5 linked regions of the Oryzias latipes genome follow. The protein of the gene in region 1 purifies or fractionates together with the protein of each later gene. This does not show direct contact. Links are inferred from orthologs where the notes say so. Each region holds a gene or a part of one and is shown in the gene's direction. Other genes may lie near its edges.

What was found.
Region 2: the proteins of vcp (region 1) and ppp1r7 purify together in Homo sapiens (affinity purification with mass spectrometry; 3 studies listed by BioGRID and IntAct, with this or other methods). This does not show direct contact. The link is inferred for Oryzias latipes from reciprocal best matches to the Homo sapiens genes VCP and PPP1R7.
Region 3: the proteins of vcp (region 1) and g3bp1 purify together in Homo sapiens (affinity purification with mass spectrometry; 3 studies listed by BioGRID, with this or other methods). This does not show direct contact. The link is inferred for Oryzias latipes from reciprocal best matches to the Homo sapiens genes VCP and G3BP1.
Region 4: the proteins of vcp (region 1) and ubac2 purify together in Homo sapiens (affinity purification with mass spectrometry; 3 studies listed by BioGRID and IntAct, with this or other methods). This does not show direct contact. The link is inferred for Oryzias latipes from reciprocal best matches to the Homo sapiens genes VCP and UBAC2.
Region 5: the proteins of vcp (region 1) and actb purify together in Homo sapiens (affinity purification with mass spectrometry, with the first as the bait; 3 studies listed by BioGRID). This does not show direct contact. The link is inferred for Oryzias latipes from reciprocal best matches to the Homo sapiens genes VCP and ACTB.

The regions. Positions count from the first base shown.
Region 1 is NC_019867.2:13,580,818-13,583,428, forward strand, and holds part of vcp (transitional endoplasmic reticulum ATPase), read left to right. Parts: intron 1-125; coding exon 126-228; intron 229-376; coding exon 377-510; intron 511-702; coding exon 703-838; intron 839-1,898; coding exon 1,899-2,011; intron 2,012-2,213; coding exon 2,214-2,378; intron 2,379-2,481; coding exon 2,482-2,604; intron 2,605-2,611. UniProt on the Homo sapiens protein: Necessary for the fragmentation of Golgi stacks during mitosis and for their reassembly after mitosis. Involved in the formation of the transitional endoplasmic reticulum (tER).
Region 2 is NC_019875.2:24,805,749-24,809,843, forward strand, and holds the start of ppp1r7 (protein phosphatase 1 regulatory subunit 7), read left to right. Parts: upstream 1-1,285; 5' UTR 1,286-1,362; coding exon 1,363-1,402; intron 1,403-2,119; coding exon 2,120-2,218; intron 2,219-3,087; coding exon 3,088-3,143; intron 3,144-3,360; coding exon 3,361-3,426; intron 3,427-3,579; coding exon 3,580-3,710; intron 3,711-3,803; coding exon 3,804-3,966; intron 3,967-4,039; coding exon 4,040-4,095. UniProt on the Homo sapiens protein: Regulatory subunit of protein phosphatase 1.
Region 3 is NC_019868.2:28,987,205-28,991,447, forward strand, and holds the start of g3bp1 (ras GTPase-activating protein-binding protein 1), read left to right. Parts: upstream 1-1,433; 5' UTR 1,434-1,560; intron 1,561-4,243. UniProt on the Homo sapiens protein: Protein involved in various processes, such as stress granule formation and innate immunity. Plays an essential role in stress granule formation.
Region 4 is NC_019873.2:18,567,770-18,571,997, reverse strand, and holds the start of ubac2 (ubiquitin-associated domain-containing protein 2), read left to right. Parts: upstream 1-1,418; 5' UTR 1,419-1,572; coding exon 1,573-1,603; intron 1,604-1,937; coding exon 1,938-2,062; intron 2,063-3,458; coding exon 3,459-3,578; intron 3,579-3,945; coding exon 3,946-4,052; intron 4,053-4,228. UniProt on the Homo sapiens protein: Restricts trafficking of FAF2 from the endoplasmic reticulum to lipid droplets.
Region 5 is NC_019866.2:19,166,918-19,170,885, forward strand, and holds the start of actb (actin, cytoplasmic 1), read left to right. Parts: upstream 1-1,158; 5' UTR 1,159-1,227; intron 1,228-2,363; 5' UTR 2,364-2,370; coding exon 2,371-2,493; intron 2,494-2,585; coding exon 2,586-2,825; intron 2,826-3,152; coding exon 3,153-3,591; intron 3,592-3,662; coding exon 3,663-3,844; intron 3,845-3,927; coding exon 3,928-3,968. UniProt on the Homo sapiens protein: Actin is a highly conserved protein that polymerizes to produce filaments that form cross-linked networks in the cytoplasm of cells.

The DNA.
Region 1 (2,611 bases):
AATATGGTACTGAATCACACAAGTGGTTTTGTGTGTGATAAATGGGATTGTACACTTAAAATTAAAAAAAAATTTTTTTTAAATAAAGCTCTCACCCCACATTTTTTGTTTTCGTTTTAAATAAGCCCCCTCGTGGAATCCTGCTTTATGGACCCCCTGGAACTGGAAAAACTTTAATCGCCAGGGCTGTGGCCAATGAAACTGGAGCGTTCTTCTTTCTTATTAATGGTATGAATATATCCGTTTGGATGTAAAGTTTTCTAGTATGGGTGAGATGATGCTGAAAGTCAGTGTTCTGATTGGCTATGCTTGTATTTATCTGAATCGTTGTGTTCAATGATATTTTCTTGTTAAAGTATCGTTCTCTCTATTTCAGGCCCGGAGATCATGAGTAAGTTGGCTGGAGAGAGTGAGAGTAACCTGAGAAAGGCCTTTGAAGAAGCTGAGAAAAATGCTCCTGCCATCATTTTTATTGATGAACTTGATGCAATCGCTCCAAAGAGAGAGAAGGTGAGTAATGTAGGGTGGTAACTTTGTCGGTGCACTATGAGTTTTAGGTTCAGGCCCTTGAAAGCACAGCAATTCTTTGTGTATCTTCTCTTTTAAATTCATGTACTAGTGACTGTATTGGCTATGTGCTTTAGATTAGCTGAGACAAAAAAAATATAGACACATTTTACTAATGGCACTCTGCTTTTTCAGACTCATGGGGAGGTGGAGAGGCGCATTGTGTCACAGCTGCTGACTCTTATGGATGGTCTGAAACAGAGAGCTCATGTGATTGTCATGGCTGCCACCAACAGACCCAACAGCATCGATCCGGCTCTCAGGAGATTTGGTAAACAGTCTTTAGAAGCCCTTAGGTCGCTCGTTTTAGATTTCACCCCGCAGCCTTTTATTATTTGAATGTCGACTAGGCCTGCACAATATACCGCAAATTTATTGTTATCGCAATATCAAGCTGTGCAATATGCATATCGCAAAAGACAGCAAATTTGCAATAAATGGTTACCTTAGATGTGGCCAAACAATCTTATGGCAACTTGAAGTGTTTAATGGATTGAAAGTATCCCTTTCTGCATTTGAGCAATCAGGTGGACCCCTTCACGTTGTTAACTAATCGGATTGCGCCCTATTATGTTGTATGTTCGCCTCCTATGTCAACAAGGGTCATTTGTAGTATAATTTTTAAGCTGTTGTAATGGAATGGGAATAATATTTTTGGTTGTTTTGCTAATTGTTTATATACCGCAAATTATATCGTTATCGCAATATTAATCACTGATATCGCATATCGCGAGTTTTCTTCATATCGTGCAGCCCTAATGTTGACTTAAAATGATCCTGTGCAGTTAAGACTTTTGAACATCAGACCTACTTTCAACCATAGAATTTAAGTTGCACTCTATTCCTAAATGTTTGGGTTTTTTTAAGTTTCATTTTAATAAGAAACTTTTTCTTGTTAATGAAACAAATTGTTTTTCCAAACCAGGTTTTCTTAAGAAATCCTGTGGCTTGTTCATTTTGTTTGAAAATGCATTGCAAGTTAAGCTGCTAACATGTTGAAACAAAATTTCTTGCTGGCACTTTAGAAACTATTGTCATCCCAGTAAGGATGAAAAAGTCTATTTCAATTCAAATAAATATATTTTGATTCAATTCAAATTTATAAATTTTCAATTAAATAACTTTTCATATTCTGATTTAAAGAAAAAAAAGAGAATTCCAATTTTTAAAATGGAGGTCAATGTTTTGCCTGGTAAAGAAATTCAACAAATTTAATGAATTAAGTTAGAAGTTTTTAAGTTGATGATCTTATAAATTTTAGGTTTTTAGATAGATGGTAAACTTCTTCATTTTCATTGATCCAATTTTATTTTCACACCTTTCCATTGTAGGCCGTTTTGACAGAGAAGTGGATATTGGCATCCCTGATGCAACCGGCAGATTGGAGATTCTGCAGATTCACACCAAGAACATGAAACTGGCTGATGATGTGGACTTGGAACAGGTTTGTGCCTTCAAAAGTCCTTTATTTTTGTCCAAAATACAACATGTTCAAGTAGATGCCTTTTTCTTGATAAATGATAAATTTCTTTTTTCTATTAGTTTGTGAATATTTTAAGTTAAAATGTAATTAATCATTATCGCAGGTTTTTTTTACATAGTGGTGTAACTTTGGTTTCTACAGTGAATTTGATTGTCTTTTGCAGGTTGCCAATGAGACCCATGGTCATGTAGGTGCAGATCTGGCTGCTCTCTGCTCTGAGGCTGCTCTCCAGGCCATTAGAAAGAAGATGGACCTGATCGACCTTGAGGACGAGACCATCGATGCTGAAGTCATGAACTCACTTGCTGTTACCATGGATGACTTCAAGGTAAACCTGTAATGGAATCGTTTGAAATCATATAGTAGTCCATTAGTACACACAGCTAGCACTGGGCTGGATCAATGCTAACCCGATCAGTGCTGTCTTGCAGTGGGCTCTGAGCCAGAGTAACCCATCAGCACTGAGGGAGACGATTGTTGAAGTTCCCAACATCACCTGGGATGATATTGGAGGTCTGGAAGATGTTAAGAGAGAGCTGCAGGAGTTGGTCCAGGTATGTG
Region 2 (4,095 bases), on another chromosome or scaffold:
ATTTTCTGTTTTTACATCAGCAAATCATATCAGAAAAAAGTTTACACAGATTGCAGATATGTGAAAAGTTGAAATAATCCTCAAAATAGCTAATCCATCTTTCAAATTACATTAATAATCAAAATATTTGTTTAATCCAAATCTTTGAATCCAGTCAGACATTGTGTCAAGTGTTGACAGTTCTCTCCAGTGTCACAATTATTACCAGAGGATGTTTATGAAAAATGTCTTCTATTCCATTAAAAATAAAGAAGGCACAACTTTTGCATTCAAAGAGGTTTATTCTCCCAATAGGCATAGGGAAAATAGGACAAAGCGATTGTAACCCATAGTAAATGAAATGCCAAAAAAAATAAAAAAAGTTATACTAAATTATTGTACATTTGAAGTCTTTTTTTTTTTACATTTGTAGAAAGTTTATAACAATGCAATACAAGCATAAAACAAAGTCCAGAATACAATTCAACATTGTTTTAACTTTCGAAATTCTTAACTATTTAGAACAGAAATATAAGTATTATAATTTTTTTTAAAACAAACTGGTGATAAGGAATAACCAAATAAAACATTCACAAAAGGGATAAAAAAGTCAACTTTAAATTTAGATCATGTTTTGCTGGGTAAAATTTGTGCGTTAGTTTGAAAGGGATTTATTTGACCTTGTTTGTTAAGGTGAATTTTTGTGGTAAAGACCAGACTTTTTTTCCATTTAATGTTAGATATAATATTAGCCAAATAAAAGTTAGCCGATGGAACGGAAACCAAATTATCCTGGAACAAAGCTCTGGTTTTTGAGTTCAGAGAAGCAAAAACTAACCTGAGGAGATTGATTTTTGATTTGATTTTATTGATTTATTTCAAGGATTGTAGTCAAAGCAATAAATAATTTACACATATTTATCAAACTCATTACAGAAATGATGAAATGCATAGATTACAAAGACAGAAAACAAAACAAAAATGTCACTTAAATCACATTTGCTTAATTAAATACAGTGATCATTAACTGAAGTAAGTAGAGTTTGATTTATTGCTTGAAAAGGGAGTGGGAAGAAGCAAGCTTGTATTGGATATATTATTATTATTATCATTATTATTATCATCATTATCATCATTATCAATAATAATAATAATAATAATAATAATAATAATAATAATAATAATAATAATAATAATAATAATAATAATAATAATAATAATAATAATAATAATAATAATAATAATAATATGCACTTTCCTTGAAGTAACCACAGCAAGACTGGAAATTTCCTGTGTTTGGCTTTACCGCCCTCTAGTGTGCAGCCGCGGTACTGCGCTCCACTTGATCGGTTGTGCGCTTGTCAGGGTGCGTTTACACTAAACATGGCTTCTCAGTCTGTTGGAGAGCTTCAAGAAATGGAAGGTGAGTATACATATTTAAAATTTTTGTTTTTGTTGTATCGTTTATGATTGTGTGGGCCCTGTAAATAAGCATTTGTTTAAAGGACCGTGTAAAATACTGGCGTGGCTGTATTTTCGTCGTTCTAGAATACCTTTACCCCACCATGTCTGTTTGGCTAACAAGCTAACTTAGACGTTAGCTTTCGTCAACATCCACGTATTGTATTTAGCGACATAATTTCCCCCCAAGTTTTTCAACAAACATGTTTTTTTAAGTTGAATATTTTTATATGGAAATTAAAATCGTCACGTTTACGTTAGACATATTAGCTTTGAATTTTTCTTGGGATTGTTTGTTAGCTAAACTAGCATGTTGAGCTTTAAATGAGCAGTATTTTAAAATTAGTGCTTGTAAAACATGAAAGACGCCAAAGATATCTTTGTTTTGCAGACTCCTAAGCTTTTGGGTGTTTTTTGGAGTTATCGCTGGTAATTGAGTGTACACATTTGAACTCATTTGATCACCTTTTCCTCCCAAATGCACGACATACTCTAACCTTTTATTAACGAAGATGGCCAGAAACTCGTTATATGCTCCTGGACAATCGAGAAACAAGCCTTTGTGTCAATAAGATAAGAGAAAGAAGAATGTTATGTGAATGTCAGTCCCACATAACAGAAATAAATGTCTTTAGGATTAATAAAGCGTTTTTGTTGTTGTTGTTTTGGTCTGCTGTAGTTGACCGAAGGGGTGATTCTGAAGAGTCCGGGGATGATGAAAGCAGGAGGAAGAGTATTAATGGCGATGTGGACCCCAACCAGCCCTCCACAACAACAAGTGAGCAGCAGACACACTTCACACAGTCTGACATTCAGAAGCATGCCACACGGATTTAACAATGTATGCATATACATATCTGTCTGTTTAGATGAGTAGGTATTAAACAGGGGTACCTGGTGAGGCTTCATATTTAAACACAAAATGATTTTAGTAATTCTAATGAAGAACCAAATGATCAGAATGTAAAATTACATTTTGGAGTATTTCTTTTTTCAAATCACTGTGAATCATAAAAAAGGAAGCGTATTGCATTCCATTAAAAACTTTTGTTTTGTCATGTATTAAAAAAAAATATGAAGAAAAAAAAACATGGGTGATCTTTATTCAAATCTTTTCCATGATTTTTATTCTAATATTTCTACAACCAGGCTGAGCTCTAACCTCATCTGCTCATGAAAACCTTAGGATGACCTGCAATTATAAGTTGAAAATCCACAATGTGTCCGTCTAATAGACATCATATGTTTTGTTTATGTGCCCAATGTTAGGTTGGGGTTGTGAGGAGCTTTAAGCTAGTGGGGGGAAGAATGCAAAGAAAGGGATGATGGGAAATGAGTCCAGGCTCGCCCACGCTATAACAGGGGATCATAATTTTGCAAAAGGCAAATTTCTGATGAACTCCTGCTGCTCTGCAGAAACTGTCCTAAAAAAAAACGACAGGTTTTTGATTTAGCCTAAAAACGGCATAATCATAAATAAAGACCCTTTGGATCAAAAGTTGATTGGAGTGGAACTTTAAGAGCCCTTTATCAGCTGAGGTCATTTGTTTAGATTTGCTTTTCTTTAGATGCTAATAATGGAAAATGTTTTGGGTTTAGGCAGTAAGTTTATTTTATTTTTTTAAGATCTATGTGTTTTCTGTAAAGGTAAAGAAGAGTCACCGGTTGACATGGACACCATAACCTTGGACCCAGAAGAAGAGGTAAGAAGCCTTATTCTTTAAAAAAAATATATATATATAATAAAAAGGCAAGCTTCTTCAGTCATCTTTTCTGGAATCATTTGATGTGATCATAGATGTAAAAACTACCACATGTTTTTAGCTTTCTACACTAAATAGAAAAAGAGAAGGTGTTTTTATTTGTGTTTTGACATGGAGGACAAAAGCTGTAGTCAGTTGTTGTTTTTTTTCCCTTCAGGACGTTGATCTTGTTCATTGTCGCATTGGAAAGATTGAAGGACTTGAGGTTTTACAGAAAGCTAAAGTAAGTCTTTCCAGTTCACTTCTAATGACACATTTAGCTTTTTACTGCACATACATTTTAGTCAAATAAAATAGCATTTACAAGTAAGGATACATGTTTCCCTTTCTGTTTGGCTTATTTCCTTTCCCCCCCCCCATTCTTCTGATTTCTCAGACGCTCTCCTTACGACAGAACTTAATCAAAAAGATAGAAAACCTTGAGAGCTTGAGCTCACTGCGAGAACTAGATCTCTACGACAATCAGATCCGAAAACTGGAGAACCTGGACAACCTCACAGAGTTAGAGTAAGTTAGGAAAAAACCAAATGTCCTGCATACCGATTTTTTTTTTTTTTTATTCATTTAATTCTGAAGATACTTTCTTGAATGAACCCACAGGCAGCTTGATGTGTCGTTCAACATTTTGAGGAAGATTGAGAATCTGGAGCGATTGACTCAGCTGAAAAAACTGTTTCTGGTTCACAACAAAATCACCGGCATTGCCAACCTGGAGCACTTCAGCTTCCTGGAGATGCTGGAGCTGGGCTCTAATCGCATTCGGGTATGAAGGGATGGATCTTTGCAGCTCTGAGGTTCCTTTCTCACACATTTATGCCATTTGACTTTCTTCACAGGTCATTGAGAACCTGGACGGCCTCACATCTTTGACGAGTTTGTTTCTTGGCACGAA
Region 3 (4,243 bases), on another chromosome or scaffold:
CGTCGGTCTGCAGAACCTTCCTTCAGGAACCAATGTCTCCATGTTTACCTGCAGCAGCTGCTGCTAAGCGTCTCAGGATTTCCCCCGGGATCTCGTTTCCTGACAGAACTCAACACACATGATGGATCGTGACCCATTTAAAACTCAGACGAAAGAACATCCAGTTAACTGAACATCGTGTCTGTCAGCCTCCATCTTATCTGTTAAACTGAAACCGTTGTTTGCACATTTCCCAGCCTCTTTTTTTAAATTTACCACCAGCTTCAATTATCTGCAGACGGTTCAGCATTTAAGCCAAAGCCACCACATCCATCATCTGCGTCTGAGTGCTGCCTGATTCTGTTTGCTGTCTGTAGGAGCTGTGCAACATCTCAACCAGTCTAACCTTCAATGTTAGGAGCTCCGGCATTCCTTCCCCCATTCAAGACCCAACACTCCAGGTTTTATTCGTTTTCACAAATAAACCCCATGTGTGTTTTTCCCCCATCATTTGAAGAGTATAAATGTTTAAAACGTCTTCCAAACAGTGGGAAAAGTAACCTTTTAGGGCTGCAGCAAACCTGTGCCGAACATGCAGTCCTCTCAGAGCAAACGGCATCCGGCAGCGACCGCTCACAGCTGCTCGTGGTCCCCTGGGAGACGGCAGAGGGAGAGACGCAGCACCCAGTTACCATCTGTACCTGCTCATCCAGCCCTCAGCAGCAAGAATGCACAGCGGCGTGAACCCAGCGTGCCCCAGCAGGAAAAACTCCCCCTGACTCTGACAGAGGAAACAACGGAAGACATCTGTAATTTAATATCAGCTCTTTTTTTTTTTTAAGCTGATGTCTCTGTGCTGACATCATGACAGCCATATTGTGGTTTGAGGCTCAAACATCTGCAGCAGTTTAGTCATGGGATCAGTAGCTCTATGTGTTTAGTTTGTCTTTTTAAAAGATGACTAAAAAGATGAACTTTTCTTTTTCTTTAGTGCACTACACGTTTTTCTTTAGTGCACTACAGGAGCAGACATTTTTCCAGTCTGCTCTGACTGTCTGCAGTCATTTCAGTCTCAATGGCGTTACATTTACCCACCTGCTTATTTTAAAGCTAAAGCACTCTCGCATTCGAACCCCTTTGATTGATGACGGTGGATAATTCTGGATGAAAAATTCACGGCGACCTAAAATCACTGATTCTGAACGCATTTGTCGCCTCCACGCGGTGGACAGCCGCTGGTGCACATCTGTGTAGAGAATCTGCCGGGATACGCCTGTCGGTATAACCATCGCACCCTCTGCCACCGCCGCGCGGTGGTTGGCTCCCTTGGAATAGAGGGAGCTTCGCGATTGGCTGGATGCGCGGGAGGCTTGCCATTCTCTCACCCCATTGGTCAGCGGGTCGTGGATGCGTCATTTCATTGGCTGAAGCTTCTTTATACGGAGGGACGTCAGATTTGGCTGCGGAGGTGAAACCGGTACCCGGGCTCTACAGCACGCCGCGAAGCCGCGCCAGCGCCTCGTCGAAGTCCATAGATTAAAAAATATATTTATACATTTTCCAAAAACTATTGACTCATTGGTAAGTTTTAATGTCAAACCTACTGTTTGAATCCAGGCAGAAAGTGAAACTAGAATGAAAATAGGATTAACGTGGTGGCTCATCCGGGCTCCATCTACATCCTGATGTTAGCTTCCTTTGACATTGTCGCGCGGTCTATAGACGGACGCGCTGAAATCCGATTTAAACGTTTATACTTGCTTTTTAATCGCGATCAGAAGTCCGGAATGGGTTTTTTCCGACATATGTATGAAATTGTTGCTGTTACAAATCACCCACGACGGCTTGGTTTTACTCTGAGCTGCAGGAATTAGCCGCAGCCCTCGTTAGCACACCCCCCCCCCCCTCTGGTTTTTCCAGCTTTCTTTCCTTATTTTTCGTGGGGTAAATTCACCTTTTCCCTAAACAGAGTTAGCTTCGTTTCTACGCGTCTTTGGATGTTAAAAGCGTCATTTTGTGGCCTCGGCGTCGGGATCGGAGCGTGGACGAGCACCGCCCGGGACACGTGCTGGGGCTGCTGAGCGCCCCCCCCCCCCCCCCCCCCCCCCGTCAGAATTCGTCTTTTGGGGTTGGTGGGCCCGTCCAGCTGTCCCGGATTAGATCGGAATGGACCAGGACAGCGCACGACACGTGAATCCCGGTTAAATTTGTCAAGGCCTCGGGGGCGCGTGTCAGCGCGGTCCCGGAAAGAGAGCGCGCGGGTCGGCCGTTTCCGTCGCCGTTCCCGCGGCGTGGTCTTTGTCTGCGGGCCGCGCGTGCAGATCTCCACGCACTTCTGCGGAAGCACGTTAAATGATTGGTCCCGTCTATGTTAGGCCCCTCGCGGATCAGACCCGCGTGACTGCGGGAGCTCCCGGGCCGTTCCGTGTTAAAAATGGCAGATGGCTGTTGGCCGTGAGAACAGATGTCAAAGTGGCTCGTGGCCTTCTGGGCTCAGAGCTTCACCTTTCCCTTCCAGGTCCTCCAAGCCAACAGTTTCCGGTTCTGTCAGCAGAACCTCTGGTGTATTTGAACCCAGATCCGCTTTATGGTGCTGAACTGAAGTGGGAAGAGAAGAATGTGCGTCTGTGGCGGCACGTCTGCTCCCTGAACCGTCCCTCCTGGTTTGTCCGTGAAACCCACTTGACAGAATAGAAGATCAACATCTTCTGATTGGCTGATCCCTCCTGATCCAGGATCATGGCCATGTGCAAAACATCAGGAATATCCTGGAAACCCGGAAGAACCCGTCACTGCCGGGGGGGTCAAACCCTGTAGAATCGTGAAAGCGCTTCCAGGTTCAAGTGGGGATGTATTAAACCCAAAGAACTGTTCAATTAGAGAATCCGGTTTCATCAGGGCAAGATGATCTAATCCACTTGCAGATGAACTCTGGTGTGGTTCACTTCAGTGTAAATGCAAACTGATCGTCCTCTGATTATGGAGAGGCAGGAAGGTTCACTTCTGGCTCAAACCCATTGAAGGAATTCCAGTCGCCTTCTTGTTGTCTTTTTGTGAAACGGACGGCGCCATGTTGGAGGCAGACGTAGAGTTGATCTGAATTGATCGGTGTTTCTATGGCAACCACTCTAAGTGTCAGACTCCAGGCCTCGTTGGCCTGTGTCCCACATGTCTTCCCATCAACTTGAAATTGAAGCTCCTTATTGGCTAAACACACCTGATTTCTGAAAAACCTGCTGGATAACGGCCCTTAAGGCCTGCAGTCTGACTCCAATCAGGAGTGAGCTTGTTGGAAGGCCACGCCCCCACCCATGAAAGCAGGCTTCTTTGGTTTGTGGTTTTGGGATCCCATTTGAAAGATCCTGGTCCATCCTCCATAACATGTAGAAATTCTGGTGACACTTTTCTTTTAGTGAGAAAATAACGACACATTTCTGCTATCTGGTACACATGTATTACATTTATAGGCTTTTTCTACAGAGGAGGATTTCTCTCTTTGGTGTTGAAATTTGCTGATTCAGACTGCGGCTGCTGGTTGCATGATGCTGGAGGATGGTCTCTAACCTCATTCCACATCAGACGGGGGGGGGGGGGGGGGGGGGCATTGTTACTGCACTCGTCCCCTTCCTGGGAAATCATGGCTAATGCTCGCGTAAACAAGAATAAATGCCTCATCTGCAATACTTAAACATTTTTCTTATTTTCTATTCAACGGTTGCCATGGCGTCCAAATACACAATCTGAAACATCTGGGGGGGGGTTTCCCCCTCGTGTTGTGGACCTGGAGCCGTTTCCTGGATCCGAAGTGACTTCAGAACCGTCGCTCACTCAGTCACAGGTTTCGGTTGGTGTGACATTGATCACTCTGGATGAACGTCAGCGATGAAATTCTTTTGTTCTGCTACCTTTGCTAATAAAGGTTTGTTTGAAATTCTCTACTACATTTGAGTGGGAAGCTCGTGTTGCACCTTTTTTCAGAAGTTTCCCCACATTTGGTTGATTAGGGTTTTGTAAGTTGTCGCCAGAGCAACAGAAACATTAGCTAAAGATGAGTCATTTTGCAGCAGTTGTTTAACTTTCCATTTCACGCTCGCTTTGTCCACCCAACGCTTGTTGCCCCCATGCTGCCGTTGGTTCTTGTGGGCGTGGCAGACATCAGCTGTGAACCATGAGATTCTTTTTAGAGGTTCATTGGTCGCTGGGGAGGGCTGTGGGGCTCCCCCCCGCCTGGATAACCACCGCAGCTCAGACGCTCCCTTCTGTT
Region 4 (4,228 bases), on another chromosome or scaffold:
AAGCCAGAAGACCATAAGAAAAAGTAATTAATCTGGACTTTGTGTAGCCACATCCTGCTCACAGACTAAAATGCTGTTACCACTTTGTCAGAAACCAACTCACACAACTTGGAGACGTGCAACATTCCTCATGCTGCTTGGATGCATAGCTGACATGAAATTAATTTTACACACAGAGCAAATACTTGTTGATGATATGCCTCAAGATAGAACATGATTAGGACTTAACTTTAAGGGTCATGGAATTCTGTCTTAGGTTAATAAAAGACACCGATTTGGATATTTAGTAAAATGACCTTTCATTCAGTGAGAAATCTGGGTACCTTATCTGCCTTCATAAAATGCTGAATAAGATACAAATCCCTAGCTGTAGGGAAGTTGTAGATGTCAGATCAGTGGATTGCAACCAATGAATACATACCTCATGTTGGTGAATAACTAGTTAAATTACAAATTGAAATGTTCGGCTTCCATTGCAGCAGAAATGCAGTTTAGGAAAAAGAAAACAGAAGTAAAAACTAACTTCCTACATATTTTTATTTAAAGACTTGGTTCTTGATTTTAGAACTTTTTTTTTACATTGTTGAGTAATACATTTGATGTGTCTCCATCTAAAGATATCTCATGTAACATTTTTTTACATGTTTTTTCTATTTACATTTCTGGGCTTTCAAATCAGATCAAAACCAACAATTTTTCTATTGATCATGACTATAATAGTGATGTATATTTTAATTAATCTAATAAGGCCATGTTACATAAATTAGAATACTTGCTAATACATACTTGTTTTCTTTCTGGTTCATTTCTGATTTGTTGATTACTTGTTGCTAGAATGTGAGTTGATCATTTGATCGGGGCTGTGGGATCACCCTAATCTGTATGGTAAGGTATCCTGCACTGCAGCCTCATGTGGGCCCCAACTCCTTGTAATCTGGGTGGTCTTGTGATGATAGCCTCTGAGAGCATGAGTGGGATGGCCCCTCCTATGGACAGTTTCCCATTATAAAATATTGTTCCCTCACTTCAGTAACAAGCCAGAACTTCCACCTATTATTATTATTATTATTATTATTATTATTATTATTATTATTATTATTATTATTATTATTATTATTATTAACACTGTTTTCTTTCAAACAAAAAAATCTATTTTTTGTGTTTATAAGTTACATTTTGATTGATTGGTTTTATGATCAAACATGAAAACAAAAGAAAAACTTTTTTTGATGAGTCTTTCGTCAGTTTATTTAAACTTTAAATACTTCTGTACGTTTAAAAAACATGTATTTTAATTTAAGTAATTTTTTAGATTTAATTTAACACAGGTGCTTTGGTGAACGGAGCAACGGCGCCATCTACAGGTATTTCCCTTGCAAACGTATTTCTGCTTTTTGACAAGGTACTTTTTGTTCACGTCAGGCTTCCGTAGCTACCTCCTTCCCCTGCCACCTTCCCGTCATAGTGACAGCATGGGTTCTTTCACAAACTTTATGTCAATGTTTTATTATTAGTTTGTTTTGGTACTGGATTATCGGCTATTTTCTGGATTCCTTTGCCCACATAGACCCCATGTTTACCACCACCGGGTCCCGGGGCCTCTGTAAGTTTACCGGGTGACAAGTTAACTCGAACGCTTCCTTCAGTTCCTCCAGCACCTAAGCTAAGCTAGCCTACTTTAGTATTGCGTTGTCGTTAATTTACTTAATGTGATATCCCGAGCTAGAACCGTCGTGTTTAGTCGAAACAAAGAAAATATCTGATATATGATGATTTGCCTCTTAATTCAATTCTTTATTTCAATAATGTGAATTTTGGCTATTATTAGTTCCACTAATGTGAACTGTGCTACCTACAGTTGTAGGAAACGGAATGAACTCAAACATTAGGCAAGCCCATTTATCACGGTTTAATCGAAAGCGATTGTGTTTTTGCAGACAAGGCTCCTCTGTCCAAAAGCCTTCTGTTAGTCCTCAATGGACTGACTCTGATGCTGATCCTTCTGCCTCAATACCAAGAACTCTTCATCTACAACCTGCAGGCTCTCACACAACAGCAGCAGGTATGTTTGTTTGGGAGCTACACTGTCAAATGCACTGTTTACACAACATCTAAAAACAAATAAAAACATGGAATCATAAGTTAAAATAGCTAAAAAGATAAGAAAGAACAGAAATAAATATAAGAAAGGGAGGTAAACACCTTATTTGTGAGAATCTCCTGAAAAGGTTTAAGGATTGTTTTGATGTCGTTGCATCTATTTCCCTCAACTTTTGCTGAACAAAACTCGTGCAGCAACATCTGAACTCTAGGTAATCCATGGCCTGCTAACAGCTCATATGTCTCCACTTGCCATTTTCAGAAGCTGGTTTTTGAGAAACTGCAGAATAACTGGAAGTATAGTGCAGCACAAACAAGAACCCAAAAAAATTGTTTTTTTTTTTTTTCAAAATATTCCTCTAAACAGAAATATAAATGTTTATTTCTGTACACTGCAAACACGGCAATGAGATTTGTTTCATTAAAAAATAGTTGGATCCATTGATATATATTATTATATTGTGTATATACATATATCAATGGTTGCATCCCTTCTTTTTTTAAATGAGTTTGTTTTGTGTACAATTAAAGTGGTTAGCTATGTACTTTCTATGACGTAGGTACATATACCCTTGTTGGAAATTGGACTTTCTACTTGTTACTGCTCTTTACTCTTTTTATTTATTAAAATGTACCTCTTCCTCTTCAAATGATTTAAACTAGGCCTGCACAATAAATAACAAATTTATTGTTATCACAAAAGACGGCAAAAATTAGCAATAAACGGTTACTTTAAATGTGCTTTAAGAATCTTATACCAGCTCAAAGTGTTTTGCCAATCAAATAAATCCCTTTATGCATTTGACCAATCGGATGGTCATATATCGCACGTTATATTGTCTTTGCAAAATTGATCATTAATATCGCGTATCGCGAGTTTTCCTCATATCGTGCAGCCCTCATTTACACCATGACCACTTTTTGCACATTGATCTCTTCTGTTTGTCTTCAGCTGCTCCAATCTCATTGCATTTAACAATTGTGAAGACAATAAATGATTCTGACAGTTTAGTTTTATTCATTTAGTATTTTTTATTTTTATTTTTTTTGTTTTCACAACAACCCATGTTAACCATGTTGACCTCAGCGTAATAGAAAAAATATGAGAAATGTGTTCTGTGGTCCAATTAGTTTGTGGTTTATTCCACATTTTTAGAGATAATTCTGGTTACTTAACAGGTGTTTTTTTTATATATCTGTACTTCAATTTTCTAACTTTATTTAGTTCAACCTTTTTGTTCTGTTCACTATGATAAAGAACACAAACATCCAAATGCTTTGAAAATTGAACTGTATATGCTTTATGTTTTCCATAATGTTTTTTTTTTTTACATTTTATTTTTTTCCATGTTTTCTAGGTGTGGAGGTTGTTGTGTGGAAGACTTGTCTGTCTAGATGTTAAGGACTGCTTTTGCTGTAGCCTGCTGATTTACAACTTTAGGATCTTTGAGAGGAGGTTCGGCACCAGGAAGTTTGCCGTGAGTGTTTAAGTGGAGGATGCTCTTCCTCACTAAAGTTTCTCTCTTTGGATAGTTTCTCTTTTTTGGGGCAGAGATGAAACCTTGTCTTGAACTCTAGTGCTGGACAAAGATACAAGTTCTTGGTTCTGGGTAGCATTGCAGATTTAGTCTTTCGAAAAACCACCTAAAGATGAGCACAAAACTGGAAAGAAATGACAGATTCAGTCAGTGTGCGGAGAAATTATTATTGAGAACTGTTTTGCAGGATGAGTCTGAGCTTTATTTGCGGTTAAATCTCCAAACCTGCCTTAAAAAAAAGAAGATGATTGTATTTGATGCTGTTCACTACTCCTGTCATCTGACTCTTTGCTGTTTTTGTTTTCAGTCCTTTCTATTGGGCACTTGGTGTTTCTCTGCCCTCACAGACTTTGTGTTGGTTCAGGCTTTTCAGCATCTGTTTGACTATGAAGTGGAAGAACTTCCTGCTGGACTGTGAGTTCATTACAATTCTAATCCATGTGTCACATCTCTGAAAAGCAGAGGTTTTTATTGACAATCACACTTTTGCTAATAAGTTTTGAGCATTGCAGAGTTTAAAGGCACGATCAAATTGTGCGTCAGTTAAAAAAAGACTGCTGTTTCAAATAATCTTTTCCTTCGTCTTAGAA
Region 5 (3,968 bases), on another chromosome or scaffold:
GAGCGAGGAAGAGGAAGTGGTACAAGAGGAAGAAAAGTAGTTGCTGCTTGTGTCTCGCAGACAGTGACATGTTTAAATGGCCTCTGGGTTATTTAACTTGTATGGGCAGCTATGTTTCTGGAGCAAAAAAAGTTTAAATAAACTGTGAAACTAATGAATGGAAGACAAGTAAGGTAAAAGCAAAGAACCCTAAGCCTATAAAACCCAAAGTCAGGAAAGTTACACCCTTTGCAGTAAACCACAGAGAGGAAATAAGAGCATGTGTGACTTTATTTGTCTCTCTCTGAGTTTAATCGATTAAGGTGAATGTATAGTAGCGTATGGGTTGGGTCTGACAGTGGTTATTTTCACTCAATAGGTCATTTATGACTAAAAGTAGATGCAAGTCAGCCTTAGTGTCCTCTTATGTGGACCTTTTTTCTTCATTTGTAGGGGAAAGAGGAAGTAGCAAGAGCTCTGAGAAGTTAACAAGAATCCAGACTAATGCCATACATGGTCAATTGGTATTAGTGAGATTGAGTTTTTACCATTGCTTAGTGGGAAAAGTGGTTATTGTCCATCCTCTGACAGGGCACTTTTACAGTCCATAGTGTCTTTTGTGAGTCATGTGTTTGGCTTGGAGGGTCTCTGACTCCATCTGAGGTGGCATTCTGCTTTCCAGAGTGTGCAGCAACATCCACATTGTAATTGTCCTCAAATTGCATCAAACATATCTTGCATTTCCAGACTGAAATCTTGAGAGACAGGTTTTAAGAGGAAAAGTATTCACAGGGAGGAGCAGCCTGTGCTCTGCTGTTTGAATGATCAGATAAGCAGGGGGACTTGCTCGAAAGCTTTATACAGGTTCATATTTTATATATATTTGAAACTTTGTAAACTCTATATGTATTAATATTTGTTCAAGAAACATTATATCCTTAGATTAGGCCTCACATCAATCCCTATCCTTTTATTTTCCCCCAGCCCGTTACTGTTATCGCCTCCCTCTTTCTACGCTCAGTGCACCACAGCGTGCACCCGACGTGCCCCAGTGAGTGACGCTGGACCAATCACATGCCGCGATTCCGAAAGTTTACCTTTTATGGAAAGAGCCGGGCAACGGACGGACTATAAATACCACGTGCCCACGGCTAGCAAATTCACTCTGAGCGCCGTCACACACAGCTTGTGCGGGATATCATTCGCCTGAAACCGATTCCCTTGAAACGAAAAGCCCCCCACCCAAAGGTAAGATAGAGACGATATTTGGTTTAATTCAAATGTTTTGGAAACCTTACGATTGTTTAATTGTGCAGTTTAATTCTTAATTGGAGGTGACCATTAGCAGAATTTTGTGGCCACTAAATTTATTTTTAGGCCTGAAATGGTTAAACTTTTAATTATCTTTTTAAAATTGACAATTTTGTTTGTTTTGGCATCAATCAAGTTGTACCAAAATTAGCCACTTAAACGCACAGGTGCCAATTGATTGTAACCGGCAAATGGCTTTTCAGTTTGGTTTTAATTGTATATTTTATATAAGCAACTAAATAAAAATTACTATTCGTATCTTACATGGTGGGGGGAATTTTTCGAGTCCTTCTACGGACGTTACCCGTCCGAGTTGAGGGTGTCTGGATCCTGGCGGGTCCCTTTGTGCGCCGTTACGGGGTGTGACCTACTTTAGCATATTAGCCTAGCTTCATGCTAACACGCCCTTCTAGACTTGACTCTGATTCCTCACATGTAGGGGGGTGGGACTGTTATACATTTGTTTGTATAAAATGTAATAACCCTTAAAGCATTTTAAAAGTATTCGATTAAATTGAGCATGTAACTGTAGTTTGACGGCGAAGAAAAGGGCAAATGACAAATCATTCATTCAAGAAAAGGCGTGGCTTTCAGGAAATGATTAATCAGTCATGGGCTCGCACACGTTTTAATTTCCTTCTAAAGCTTGACGGGTCGTGGTGCTTTATGCCAGCAACGACTTCGCACAAATTATGACGCAGTGATTAAGAAATTTTTCAGTCTTGTGCAACAATGGGAGGGAACGCTGACAAAGTAGAGCTGTAATGAACCAGTGGGAGTAGGCTTTCGTCGCCGGGTCCGATAGTCTAAAGTCCCTCCCCTCTTGCTGTACTTTGGCCGCGTGCCTTGCCGGTAGCCGCAAAGCTGCTCAAAACCGAACTATGTCCTTATATGGTAACAAGAGAATGCAGCACCACTTCCTTTTGTCTGGGCTCGGAATGTAGCGCTCTACCTCCACCAAGCGGACACTTTGGGGAACTGCCGCTCCCTGACAGGAAATGGGACATCTGACTGCAAAGCAGATGCAGATGGGCGTGTCTTTGGTGTTAACGCCTTATTTGTTTGTTTTCCAGTTTAGCCATGGATGATGACATTGCCGCACTGGTTGTTGACAACGGATCTGGCATGTGCAAAGCCGGATTCGCTGGAGACGATGCCCCTCGTGCTGTCTTTCCCTCCATCGTTGGTCGCCCCAGGCACCAGGTTAGTTCCTAACTGTTTACCTTTATAATTTTTTACTATTTAATTTTAAAAGTTTCCAGATTTACTAAATGTAAATTTAAACTTTTTTTCAGGGTGTCATGGTGGGTATGGGCCAGAAAGACAGCTACGTAGGTGATGAAGCCCAGAGCAAGAGGGGTATCCTGACCCTGAAGTATCCCATTGAGCACGGTATTGTTACCAACTGGGATGACATGGAGAAGATCTGGCACCACACCTTCTACAATGAGCTGAGAATTGCCCCTGAGGAGCACCCTGTCCTGCTCACTGAAGCCCCCCTGAACCCCAAAGCCAACAGGGAGAAGATGACCCAGGTACCCGTTTACCTCACAGTGGAGCACATGTATACTCTTTTCACCTTGGTTTCCTTCTGTTCATACTTCCTCCATCCTCCTCTTCTAGGATTTCTTCCTATAAGATGAGCTTTCATCAAAAGGTCTATTGACAGTTTGCCTTGTATCTGCACTTGTGTTTTGAGGCTTAGAGTAACAGATCAGCACCTAAAAATGACATGCACAAGTGTGAAGGAATGTTTACCATGTACTAACTATAGATCGAGCCCCACTTTAATGCATGTAGCGAGTGGAGTGGTCGCATTGCTGCTTTGTAACATGCTAACATTGTGCTTTTTGTCTCTGCAGATCATGTTTGAGACCTTCAACAGCCCTGCCATGTACGTTGCCATCCAGGCTGTGCTGTCCCTGTATGCCTCTGGTCGTACCACTGGTATCGTCATGGACTCTGGTGATGGTGTGACCCACACAGTGCCCATCTACGAGGGCTACGCTCTGCCCCACGCCATCCTGCGTCTGGACTTGGCCGGCCGCGACCTTACAGACTACCTCATGAAGATCCTGACGGAGCGTGGCTACTCCTTCACCACCACAGCCGAGAGGGAAATTGTCCGTGACATCAAGGAGAAGCTGTGCTACGTCGCCCTGGACTTCGAGCAGGAGATGGGCACCGCTGCCTCCTCTTCCTCCCTGGAGAAGAGCTATGAGCTGCCTGACGGACAGGTCATCACCATTGGCAATGAGAGGTTCCGTTGCCCAGAGGCCCTCTTCCAGCCTTCCTTCCTTGGTAGGTACCTCAACCAAAGACTTGTGTACAGACCCCAGAGTGCCCCATGCTAATATTTAATCTCCTTCCAGGTATGGAGTCCTGCGGTATCCATGAGACCACCTACAACAGCATCATGAAGTGTGATGTTGATATCCGTAAGGATCTGTACGCCAACACTGTGCTGTCTGGAGGTACCACCATGTACCCTGGAATCGCAGACAGAATGCAGAAGGAGATCACAGCCCTGGCCCCATCCACCATGAAGATCAAGGTGAGCTTTCTGAAGAGTCTCCCGTCTGGATTGTTCCTTTGGGGAAAAGGGGCTCATTCTCAACTCTCCTCCTCTCCCTACAGATCATTGCCCCACCAGAGCGTAAATACTCTGTCTGGATTGG